Canis lupus familiaris: one gene and its partners. The protein of the gene in region 1 interacts with the protein of each later gene in a pairwise test. Links are inferred from orthologs where the notes say so. Each region holds a gene or a part of one and is shown on either strand. Other genes may lie near its edges.

Region 1 (4,051 bases):
CCATTTTTCTAAAGCTTTCCCTCCCTCACAGTGAAAGTGTGGAACAGATTGGATACAGAACTTGAAACTCAGATGACTCCCTTCAACAGTCAGGTCCCTCTCCTCTCCAACTGGGTTCTCTTTTTCCAGCAACTTTTGCAACAGTATAGCAACCATGTTTCCAAAGCTTCTTCTCACTTAGCAGTGAATGTAACCTAAAGGATTGGCTACACAGTGAGAGATCTCACGGGATTCCCTAGAACACTCAGGTCTCCCTCCTCTCCAAAATGACCACCTTTTCCCAGTATCCTTTGTAACAGTGTACCTGCCAGTTTTCCAGAGCTTTTCTTAACCCACATTAAAGGTACTTTAAAGGATTGGCTACATAATGGTCAGATTCAATTGATTGGATTTCCTAACAGCCAGGGAACATAGGAACCTAACTTGTCTTAATCTTTTTCCAGACTTGAGAATCATATTGTTTTATGTATGTATATTTCTATTTAATAGCGTAGATGAGGTCCATCTACAGTATCAAGGATTACTAATGTCTTTTACTTAAAGTCCACAGAGTGTAGATGCTAACTAAAATTCCAAAATGATGGGGATCCCTGGGTGGCTCAGCGGTTTAGTGCCTGCCTTTGGCCCAGGGCGCGATCCTGGAGTTCCGGGATCAAGTCCGGCGTCGGGCTCCCGGTGCATGGAGCTGCTTCTCCCTCCTCCTGTGTCTCTGCCTCTCTCTTTCTCTCTCTATCATAAATAAATAAATAAATCTTTAAAAAAATAAAAATAAAAATAAAATAAAATAAATTCCAAAATGCCTTCATGGCAACACCTAGACTAGTGTTTGATGGAATAACTGGGAACTACAGGCTACCCAACAAACAGGTAAACTTGACCCTCATAGTGATCTAATCATTAGGGAAGCTGAGGGAGAATTTGGACTTAGACCAGAGACTGTAGGACCTGTATGGGGACAGTGGGGCCTCCAATGGCTACAGACAGATTCTTTCTTTCCTATCCTTCCTTCCTTTTATTCATCAATGATTCTCATGATTCCAGGCTGATTATTTAGTTGATAATTAAATAATTTATATAGTTATAATTTATATAGATAATATAGATAATATAGATATGGAAGGAAATATACATATAGAATTATTTATTTATAAAGGAAAGTGTCATTTCACACACAATAGAGTTTTGCAAAATAAAGTGTATATGTAGTCCCCAAGGAATATGTGAATCCGGTGTTCTGGAAACCCAAGGTTGAGCTCCCAGCCTACCAAAGGATGGCCCTGACCTCTCAAAGGACATCCCTGCCTTCATTGCCTCACTGGTACACAAAAGCTTTTTCCTTTGGCCCCAAGTCAACATCTGGCTCTGCTCAACCTACCGTCATGAAGCTGGAGCCCCTTTAGTCTGTTGTCCCAACCCCAGCCTAGCCACTGCATGCCAAGGACTCCATACAGTACCGCTTTCTTGCTCCGGTTGCCAGTCATATTCCAACCCGATTGACCTGCAGCAGAGCCAGCAGCCTTTGGATCCGCCTTCTGTCGCCGCTGAGAAGCACCCACAGACTGGGATCCATGCTCCATCATTTCTAGGCAAAAGAAGAGAGGCCCCAGAAACACCCATAGAGGCTATACCAAGGCTTCCTGGACACAGGACACACCAGAAAGAGGATAAGGTACCCAAACTTCTTAGGAGTCATTCAATATTCATTCACTGTTGTCCCCTGGCAGATCCCAAGCCTCAGTCTGTTCATTTGTTTAAAAGTTTAGTAAGTATTTCTTGAGGGCCAAACTCTGGGCTAGGTTACTGGAGGGAGAGCAATGACCAAGACACAAGATCTCAGCAATCTAGTAATCAACTGTCTATGTGTGCTTAGCTGAAGTGAGGGGTGCAAAATGGGTATAATCTATCAGTGTTAACTCAGATCAAGAGATACATGCTCCCAAAATGATAAGAACAGGGCAACATGGTGGAAGGAAGGGCTACTTCTAGAAAAGCCAGAAACACCTGTGAGGCAGAGACCTGAAAGACAAAAATGATGGCAGCCATGGAAAATCTAGGAAAACAGCATCCCAGGCAGAGGTAGCAGTCAACACAAAGGCTATCAGGAAGAATCAGCCTTCGGGTCTTATGAGGACAAGTATAAATGCAGTGTGCTGTGGGTCATCATACCACAGCATGAAATATATTGAGGAGGTGGCATTGGCTGGCTCTTGTAGATCAAGGAAAGGAGTTTGGATTTTACTCTAAAGGAGGAAAAGGCATTAAAAAGGAGAGAGAATTGGTCTGAATGATCTTATAAATTGAGCGCTCTGGATACTTTGCCATAAACACAGTGGTAGCTTGGACAGGGGGAGATAAGGACCACACATGTGGATCCCATCCTACTCTCTCACAGGCTTCAAAATGCTCACATCATCAATACCTTTCCCCCCCAGCTTCCTGTTCATCAAGGCACAAATACAGGTATACGCACACCAAGGCACAGACACACACATAGCCACACATACTTGCATATATATGACTCTTCCCAGCCATGAACACACCTTCTCCAACACATGTGACTGGGTGCAGACACCCAAAGGAAAGGGACATTACAGGGGCTCCTCACCTGCTATCACCAGGTGCTCCTGGCTTTTCCCATAGTTTCCAGGAACCAGCTCTTCAGCGATGGATGTTTCCATCTCCTCCTTGATAGTAGGGGGGCCTCCTGCCATCACAGCTAGCGCTTAGCTATTAAGCTATAGCCAGGATACACAGGAAGCCGGGCACAGAGCAGACTCTTGGAAAGTCTGCTCTTCCAGGGGCAGGAGCTCGAGGAAGATATATCTGGCCATGGGGGTGGAGCCACACTCTCCCACAGGACTCAGGCCTTGGACCCAGCACCTTGTGTTCCTGTTGTATCTTATTGGCTTGGTTCACAGTCTTCTCCCCTGCTACTCTGTAAGCAACTTAGGAGGAGGAGTTTCTGATACTTATCTCAGAAACTTTGCCTGTGAGAACTACCCTGGCTCTCGGGTCACATGATTTGGCCCCATTGAGGGGCCAGTGGGATCTACTCTCCATCATTTCTAAAGAGAGGTAGATACTGGCACAGGACCCCAAAGCCAGTCAGTAGCCAGAACAGGGTTAGATCCCAAACTTGTTGTGGCTTCTGCAAGCCCAGCTCTGGCAAGTATTTCAGGCCACAGCTCCCCTCAGGAGGCATCCTCTACAGAGCACATCTTGTTTCCCCCCAATGTAGAGTTCCCAGGGGAGATGGCCTTTTAATGCCTTGGGTCAGTCTGAGCAGGAACCATGAGAATCTAAGGAGGGAAGGGCAGGAAAGAAGGGATCTACCTGTAGCCACTGGAGGGCCCACTGTCCCCAGGCAGGCCCTGCAGTCCCTGGTCTAAGTCCAAATTCTCTCTCAGCTTCCCTAATGATTAGACCACTGTGAGGGTCAAGTTTATCTGTTCGTTGGGTAGCCTATAGTTCCCAGTTATTCCATCAAACACTAGTCTAGGTGTTGCTATGAAGTTATTTTGGAGCTTTGGTTGACATTTGCACTCTGTGGACTTTAAGTAAAAGACATTACTAATCCTTGATAATGTGGATAGGCCTCATTTAATGAGTTGAAAGGCCTGAAGAGCAAAGACTGAGGTTTTCCAGCGAAGAAGAAATTTTGCTCAAGAATGCAACATCGGGAAACAAAAGCAAACAAAAACTCCTGGGACTAAATCAGAATACAAAGCTTTGGCACAGTAAAGGAACCTGTCAACAAAACAGAAAGGCAACCTAGTGAATGGGAAAAGATATGGGCAAATGATGTATCTGAGAAGGGGTTAAAATGCAAAATATATAAAGAACTGATACAACTGTCAGCACTAGAAAAACAAAAAAATCCAATTTAAGAAGGGGCAGAGGACCTGAATAGACTTATTTCCAAAGAAGACATACAGATGGCCAACAGACATGTGAAAAGATGCTCAGCATCACTCATCATCAGGGAAATGCAAATCAAAACCACCATGAGGTATCACCTCACCCCTGTGAGAATGGCTAAAATCAACAATAC
Region 2 (4,299 bases), on another chromosome or scaffold:
GCCTGCTGTCTCCCCTTAGCTAACTCCTAACTATTCATTTCCATCTTCATCCCCTGCTCTTAAATATTAGTCGCCCCCCACCACCACCACTCCACCCTCCACACACAACCTCCAAACCTTTTTGGCAGATCTTTGTAGTAAACAGATGGGGTATCTGTGTTGCTGGGAGACCACTTCATATGTGGAATCCAGTCCAAAGGGAGTGAGAAGGAAGGGGGCACACCAGCAACATGATTTAGTGGCTGAGCACCCTTCCTCATCTTCTCTTTTTCTGACACTTTGAAACCAGCTCGGGCTTCATTCTCTGTTAGCTCTTTAAACTAGAGCAGACCAACTTCGCCTCCATGACCCTCCATGTCCTCATCTCTAAAGTGAGAATAATAGCATACTAACCCACGGGGGTTATGTTGAATATGTGAACTAATGTTTATAAAGCTCTCAGCACAATTTCTGACCCACAGAAAGAACTCGATTGTTTTGCTGTTGTGATCTATCCTTTTCAGGAAGATTAGCAGAACGAGGGAGGTAAAAAAAAAAAAAAAAGAAAAAAAAAGTATGAGTTTGGCAGGCGAGGGCTCAGTACTATTTATGATGAATTCGGGGAGCTTCATTCGGGGGTTATTTGGCAAAGGATCTCAGCGGAAAAGCACGGAAAACTTCGTTTTTGACCTCTCATGAGCTGTGTGTTACCTTGGCCAATTCGGCCTCTGTGAAGTCTCTTTTCTTTTCTTTTTTTTTTTTTTTTAAAGATTTTATTTATTTATTCATGAGAGATACACAGAGAGAGGCAGAAGGAGAAGCAAGCTCCACGCAGGGAGCCCGACGCGGGACTCGATCCCGGGTCTCCAGGATCACACCCTGGGCCAAAGGCAGGCTCCAAACCGCTGAGCCACCCAGGGACCCCCTGAAGTCTCTTTCCTACCTTTAACGTGGGCACCAGAACTTGCTTCCTGACCTCCCGCAGTGGCCCCGAGAATGACCCCCTTGGGGCCCTGGACCACTTTCAAGATGACCGGGTCCCGCGCTCTCGCCGCGTCCGTGGGTCCCGCGGGTCCGCTGGTGCTGGGGAAGGCGCCGCGGCCCCGGGTTCTCGGATGCGCCCCCGCCCCGGCGCTGCCCCGCCGCACCCAGGGCGGCCCCCGACGCCAGCAGGCTTGCTTTGGTGTTCGGATGTCCCCGGACCTCACGCACGTCCCCAGGTAAGGGGCGGGTGCCCTTCTCTTACCTGCAACCCCTGCTTGCGCCCTGGAACCCCGCTGCCCACGCAGCCAGCCGGCTTTTCCCGCCCTCGGCCCCCCAAGTTTTCCCCGAGCCCGAGGGCGCGGGCGCGCGCTGCCGAGCCTGCCCGGAGCCCCGCGCTCGGCCTCGCCCGCCCCCCGCCCCCCGCCCCCGCGCCCCCCCGCTGCAGCTGGCCAATGGCAGCCCTCCCCGGGCGCTCCCCCTCCCGCCCCCTCCCCGCCCCCCCGCCGCCTCCGCTCGCAGCCCGGGCGCGCAGGCTTCGCGGAGCGCACCGCCAGCCGAGCATCAGCCAGCCCGCGCGGGCCCCGAGCTGCCCGGGCCTCGCCCCCCGGGCGCTGCCCGCCGCCGAGCTTCTGGCCTCGAGGACGACTCGGCGGCGCCCCCCGAACTTCATCCGGAGGGGAGAAGCGGTCAGCGCGCGCGCGAGCGATGGACCCCGTGAGTCAGGTAGGGCGGACCTGGTCTGGACAGGGCGGCGGGGGCTGGGGGCCCTGCGGCCCCGGGAGGCGGGAAGGGCCGCGGCCCCCTCCTCACTCCTCTCCTCTCCTCTCCTCTCTCCCTCTCTCTCTCGCTCTCGTCCGTCCAAAGCTGGCCTCCGCGGGCACGTTCCGGGCGCTCAAGGAGCCCCTTGCCTTCCTGCGAGCCCTGGAACTGGTGAGTGCGCGCGGCGGGCGGGGCGCGGAGCCAGGTGCGGAGAGGTCGGGAGGGCGCGCGGCGCTCGCGCAGTCCGGTCCTGGGCACCCCCCCCCCCCGGCGCTGGCGGGCACCGGCCGGGGGCACCGCGCTCGGCGGCGGCCGTGCAGACGGGCTTTTGCAAGCGCTCCGAGGTGTCATCTCCCCTCCCGCGGGCGCCCTCGCCGGGGCTGCTGCCTGGAGCCTCCCCGGGAGATGGGGAGGTGGGGAGCGCAGCAGATGGAGGGGCCGCCGCTGCGCTCCCGGCCTCACCTGCGCTTCTGCGGGGGGTCGGAGGTGGAGGGGAGGGTGGCTAAGGGGCGTGGATTGAAGGGACACTGTGAAGGCTGGGCCTTGCCTTGGCCAAGCTTGAAAGTTGCTCTTGGTGGGGACCGCTCCTTCGCCCGCCCGGCCCGGGACGCTGGAAGCGCTGCTGCGCTCAGTTGCCCTGCGGGAGCTCCGGCGAGGCGCCGCGAGGCTGTGAATGCGGTTGGTGGAGAGGGCAGGACGCCTTCCATCCCTGGTGTCATTCCTCTACCCCGGCCACTGCTCGAGGGCTCTCAGGATTTCCTCCAGAAGAACCTCCCCCCAGCTCCCAGCCTTCTTTGCTTAGCTCTCTTCAGCCACTGGGCTCTCCGAAATTTTGTTACTCCTCTGTTTTGTCCCCGTTCAACAACAACAACAACAACAGCAAACCACTCTGACAGTCCTATGGCAACCTATTGATAAGGAGTGAGGCACAGTAGCAGTCGTTCATTGAGCAGTGCTAGTGCTGTTGGCTTAGATGATGGTTATTCAGAGTGAAATCTGCAGATCGCACATTCCTCTCTTGCTAGGAGCTTTGAGGAGCAGCCGGACCCATCTGCACAGGGAAGTTCAAAGCCCGTCATGTAGCATTAATCACAGGCCCTACCACTGACTAGCTGGGAAATTATATAAGAGCGTGCTCTGGCCTCCCAGATCTCAGCTCTAAAGGGCTAATGTCTGGCTTTGGCTACACGACTTGTGGTGCATGATGATCCACAGGGTAAGCACTTTTGCCTTGTTTATGAGCCTGCGTAAAAATGCACGAATATATCAATTTGACACATGTCAAGACAACATTTGGAAGCCTTGCACCTTGTTCTGGGATGGTCATCCTAAAACAGGTTTCCTCACAGCCGGGTTAAACAAAGCAAGCAGTGCTCACAGTCCATGAAACTTCCGGTTGGCTTTCTCAGAATTCTGCCCACATTCATTCATTTAGCCATTCAGTAAACAATCCCTGTGGAAGAGCAGAGGTTTTTGATGAAAGTAATAGCTCCACTGCCAAACCATTGTCTCTCAAAACAAGATTCAAAGAGTTGACATCATTTTCTGATATCTTTTATTGTCTTAGGTTGTCACTTACCTGACACATTAATTTGTATTCTTTTCAGCCCTCTGACAACATCATGCCACTGCTCACCACACAGCCTCTACTGACATACTTCAAAGTAGTTAAGCCTGGATGAATTTGTTTAAAATGCAGACTTCTGGACATTAACTCAAAATATTGGGAAGGTGTATACCCAGGAATCTGCATTTTAAGCAAGCCCCCTAGATAACCTATCCACTTTAAGATTGGAGGACCACCACGATAAGCTATCCAGGTTCCCTCCAAAACTCAAGAGCCCTTTTAACCTTCACGCTCTTGCTATTTCTTTTCATACTCACGCCATAAGCCTAGAAAAAGTGTTTGTCTTTTAACTTCAGTTTAAATGTTACCTTCCTGAAGTTCTCTCTCACATTTGTTCCTTTCCCCTCTCTCTTCCCAAAATGGAATGATTCAGCCCATTCTTTGGGCTTCTATTACATTTTACTCATGAGAATTTATCACACTGCATTACAGTTGTTTTTTTCTTGATGTGTGTGTATGTGTGTGTGTGCGAGAGAGAACATTTATTACACCTAAAATATTTCTAGTCTTTTCCTTCTTCTAGGTCTCTGAGGTTCTAAGGTGGAAGAGCTTTTGCTTGCAAATCGGTGATTAGCTTCTCATTTATGGAAGAGAACCTGAATAAGGGATAAGGGACACACACACACACACACCCAAAAAACCAAACCCTTAAAAATTCATTTAAGTTAGTTGATCTACCTTTTAAAAGAGCTAAGGTAGAGAAATGAGAGAGGAGACAAGAAGGTTCATTACTGAGAATGTTTAATAAAGTGGAGAGAGAGAAGGAAAATGTGTTACGTGTATGCATTGGTGTGAGGAACCACTCTGAGGCATCTTTTCTGTAGAAAATGGTGACAATGAGAGAGTGATCTTTTAGATAGCAGGAAATTTGTTCTGTTTGTCTCTGTGTTCCCCACTAGTGCCTTCCATAGAGCTTGGTTAACAGTAAGTGATCAGGGATCCCTGGGTGG
Region 3 (3,966 bases), on another chromosome or scaffold:
TCCCACTCTGGAGCTTTCATAATGAGGGCTCGGGGTTAGGGGGCAGCAGCCTGGAGGAAAGCCGTCAGACGCGCGGTCTCGGGGTGCCGGGGCGGGTGGCCCCGGAGTCCCCGCAGCTCCGCGGAGGCCCTGGCCTGTGCGCTGGTGACGAGCTTGTGCGCCCGGGCCCGCGTGAAGCGCTTGGGAAGTTGAAGGGGCAAGCCGTGCGGCTGGGAAGCCTGCGTGACATTTTGTTGGCTGACTGGGAGGCCGACGTAAGCTGGCTGGTGGGGCCTGTGCTTTGCTTTTTTTCTGATTAACGCGACGTGAGAATAAGGTACAGAGGGCAGGTGAGGATGCTCTGCAGAGACGTGCAGTCGGCGAGCCGGGAGGTTCCCGGGGTGGAGGGGGCGGCCCTGCGTGGGGCTCGGGCTGGGCGCCGCCGTGCCGCGGAGGGCCGTGTGCTTCCGTGTTGCTTGGGAGTGAGGCAGCTCGGCGTGACCGTCGCGGGACAGAGTGACTAGGGGCGCGGCTCCTAGGCTCTCGGGTACCGGCTGCCGTCTCCGCGGCCCGCCTTCGTCTGACAGGTACACGGCGCCGGAGACCCACAGACTGGAGCCACAGACAGACGGTCGGGCTCCGAGACAGACGTGTGCACGTTGCCAGGAAGCAGCACAGCAGAGGGTGCAGGGGCAGGCGGCTCGGGGCGCGGGAGCAGCCTCCCGGAGGGCCACACGCCCAGCGGGAAGCCGGGCTCGGTGAACCCAGGCCTGGTGGGGGGGTCCCCGCAGCACCGATCTCCGTGGCCTCAGCAGGAAGAGACTGAAACTTCGGATTAAAATCAAAGACTGTTGTTGCTCAGAACACGGCATTAGCTCTGTAAAGGCAAGGCCCAGGGAAGTCACCTGCGGCCTGTGCAGATGAAGAGCGGCTTGTGTCATGCACGTTGAGCTTCTACAGACCGCGGGATTTTTGAACAGCTTCTGTATGTCTTTTTCTTCTTTTCAGAGAGAGAGAGAGTGTGGAAGGGCAGAGGGGCAGAGGGCGCGAGCGTGCGCCTCCCTCTGAGCGGGAGCCCGATGTAGGGCTCCACCCAAGGGCCCCGAGAGCATGATCGGAGCCGGAACCAGGAGTCGGATGCTTGGCCAGCCGAGCCGCCCGGGAGCCCCCTGAACAGCTGATGTAAAAGCTGCTGTGCAAATGGCCCGTAAACATGACACGGTGGCCGGTTTCATGGGAGATCAGAGAGATGTAAAAGGAAGCACACAGGACACGGTCACAGAGACTGGTTGTGCCGAGTGTGAGGCTGCAGGTCTGATGTCTGGTGTCGTTGAGGGGGCTCACCTGGGTTCAGTGGGCAGGGCGGGCGTTTCCTGGTAACACGGGTGTGCACGTGCTCCTTGAGCCCAGCGCCCCGCTCCTGGGCTGACATGGGCGCGTGGACGCCGGGAAACACCAGCAGTTACGGGGCCCCCGGGGGCTCTGGCAGTGAGGGTCCGACTCCTGGATTCTGCTCAGGTCGTGAGGTCGCGCCCCAAGTCCGGGGCATCTGCCTGGCATTCTCCCCCAGCCCCGCTCCTCCTGCGCACGCGCGCTGTGCGTCTCTCTCAAATCTTAAACCCTAGCAGTCGCGGAGCAGGCCCCGTCCTGCGTGGACGGTCGTGGCGGAGCCAGAGGGTGTGTCTGTTCTCAGGTCCCCACAAGTGCTGCCGGCCCCGAGGTCCTGGGCTCTGCTGGGCTCCTGGCGGTCGGGGTCATCTGAGCCTCCCGGGGGGTGGCCAGGGGCCCGCTCCTGCGCCCCCCAGCAAGGCACCCATGCAGGCTGCCCTCCCCGCCCCGCCCTGTCCCAGGGCCCTGCAGCGGTGAGGGTGCCCTGGGCCGTGTTTATGTCAGCATGACGTCCAGGTGCGCTCGTGAGGACCCAGGCTGCTGAAGGCGACAGCCTCACTCGCGGGGGTGGTGGGTCGGGGGTGGTGGGTGTGAGCCTCTGTCTCGGTAAGTGGGTGATCGGAATCTGCAAAACGTGGGCAGCAGCAGCTCGGGGGGCTCTGGCTCCGGCTGGACTCGCTGGGGGACGGTCGGTGAGCAGCCCCCCTGGCTCTGCGGAGCTCGCGTGTCCGGCTTTTGGTGGAGGGGACCCAGAATCCAGTCGGGGTGGAGTTCTGTGGGGCCTCGGGATCAGCGTGTTTCTGGTGGGGAAAGAGATGGGAAAGAGATGATGTGAACCTTACAGACGTCAGTCTCTTCGGCTCTTGTGGACGTGAGGGCAAGACTGCACCGCGGTCAGCCGGCCTGCAGCGGCCCGTGGCTTCCCGGGTTAGCGCTTCTGGCCACCGGCTGGGGACCCGGCGCCGGGGCTGGCTGGGCGTGCGTCCCCACACCCCGGGTGGCAGGCGGGCTGCTCCTGTGCCAGCGGAGGCTCCGCGGTGGGCGGAAAACCCCCAGCATGGCCTTCCTGTCCCCTCAGGCTCCTGGGTAGAGCTGCACTTCAGCAACAATGGGAACGGGAGCAGCGTTCCAGCCTCCGCTTCTATTTATAACGGTGACCTGGAAAAAATACTGCTGGATGCCCAGCATGAATCTGGACGGAGTAGCTCCAAGAGTTCTCACTGTGACAGGTGGGCATACACACGCGCGTCTGTTCCGGTGCTGACATCACGGGGGACGAGCAGGGCCGGGTCCAGGAGTGGCCTCTGCCCTCCTGGTCTGTGGGCGGACCGCGGCAGAGCTGAGGGCCCCTGCCCCTGCCCCTGCCCCTGCCCCTGCCCCTGCCCCTGCCCCTGCATGTCCTGCCTGGCCCCCTGGCCACCGCGAGCTGCCGTGCGTCAGTGCTGCCAGTGACTCCCGGTGGCAGGGCTGAGTCAGAAATCAAAGGTCAGCTGCTCTCGGCTGTGCAGCGGGGCACAGAGCCAGTGCGGGAAGGCGGCCGTGGGGAGCCCCCACCCCCCACTCTGGCTGCCCGATGCCGGCCTAGCCCAGCTGAGGAGGGCGGGGGCTGGGGCCTGGTGCCGGTGCTCCTCCTCTCGGAGGCTTTGCCGGTCACGAAGGACAATGTTCATGTTCTGCGCCTTCTCCCGTTCTCCTGTCTCTGCGCAGCCCTCCGCGCTCACAGACCCCGCAGGATACGACCCGAGCTTCGGAAGTAGACACCCACAGCATCGGAGAGAAAAACAGCTCCCAGGTGGGCCGGGGTGCTCGTGCTCGCAGCACGCTGCGGGTTTCCAGTGACTGAGGAGACCAGCGTGTGCTGTAGGCAAAGGCTCTTGCCTTTTTTAAAGCCATGAGGTGGGGGCCTCCCGACACCCGAGCTGACCAGAGGAAGGGCCGGCCTCTGCTGCCCTGCCCTGCCGCCCGGGGACGCCCGGGGACGGTGGATGGCTTCTGCAGCCCAGACAGGGCCACGTGGCCAGTGGGAAGGGCACCTGGGTGCCCCTCGGTGGGTGTCTGTCGTGGTGGGGGGTGGGCTTTCGTGTGTCGGCTGCTCGGGGGAGCCTGGCGTGACCTGCACACTCGGGCTCTGCTGATGCGCTGGGACGCCGTCGTTGCTCAGACCCCGCCTCTGGCCGTGCTGACTGGGGCTGGCGCAGCTCCGTGCTAGGAGTGGAGGCCGCGGCCCCTGAGAACGGGGCCCCCAGTGCTGGGCTGCGACTGCGCCCCCCCGGGCCCTGGCCCCCAGGACTGCTGCACCTGCGAAGGAAATGTTTCCTTTGGCTGTTTTCAGTGATGATGAGAACATGAACAGTTGATGTCTTTTTCCATATTTATTTCAAAATTTCTGAGGAAGCAGGGTCTTGCAGTTGGTACCACTGAGACCCTTGATCCCTGGGGTCTCTCCTCTGGGCCTCCCGCTCACCTGGGCCCTCCTAGCACCCTCCCTGGTCCCCTGGGTGCCCTCGGGGTGCCCCCAGGGCCGCTGCTTGGTTTGCCTGCTGCATTCCAGAGTATTTCCAAAAACGGAAGCAGTGCTTTTTCTGATTTTCAAGAGGA

Evidence for each region.
Region 2: the proteins of FATE1 (region 1) and SYNPR interact in binary tests that used the Homo sapiens proteins (3 or more experiments, as listed by UniProt). The link is inferred for Canis lupus familiaris from reciprocal best matches to the Homo sapiens genes FATE1 and SYNPR.
Region 3: the proteins of FATE1 (region 1) and BNIP3 interact in binary tests that used the Homo sapiens proteins (3 or more experiments, as listed by UniProt). The two-hybrid records come from large-scale screens. The link is inferred for Canis lupus familiaris from reciprocal best matches to the Homo sapiens genes FATE1 and BNIP3.

The regions. Positions count from the first base shown.
Region 1 is NC_049260.1:120,980,359-120,984,409, reverse strand, and holds the start of FATE1 (fetal and adult testis-expressed transcript protein), read right to left. Parts: upstream 2,807-4,051; 5' UTR 2,712-2,806; coding exon 2,606-2,711; intron 1,583-2,605; coding exon 1,455-1,582; intron 1-1,454. UniProt on the Homo sapiens protein: Involved in the regulation of endoplasmic reticulum (ER)-mitochondria coupling. Negatively regulates the ER-mitochondria distance and Ca(2+) transfer from ER to mitochondria possibly implicating it in the regulation of apoptosis.
Region 2 is NC_049241.1:28,047,164-28,051,462, reverse strand, and holds the start of SYNPR (synaptoporin), read left to right. Parts: upstream 1-1,497; 5' UTR 1,498-1,668; coding exon 1,669-1,686; intron 1,687-1,827; coding exon 1,828-1,893; intron 1,894-4,299. UniProt on the Homo sapiens protein: Intrinsic membrane protein of small synaptic vesicles. Probable vesicular channel protein.
Region 3 is NC_049249.1:40,552,846-40,556,811, reverse strand, and holds the start of BNIP3 (BCL2/adenovirus E1B 19 kDa protein-interacting protein 3), read left to right. Parts: upstream 1-1,164; 5' UTR 1,165-1,179; coding exon 1,180-1,291; intron 1,292-2,446; coding exon 2,447-2,597; intron 2,598-3,075; coding exon 3,076-3,160; intron 3,161-3,966. UniProt on the Homo sapiens protein: Apoptosis-inducing protein that can overcome BCL2 suppression. May play a role in repartitioning calcium between the two major intracellular calcium stores in association with BCL2.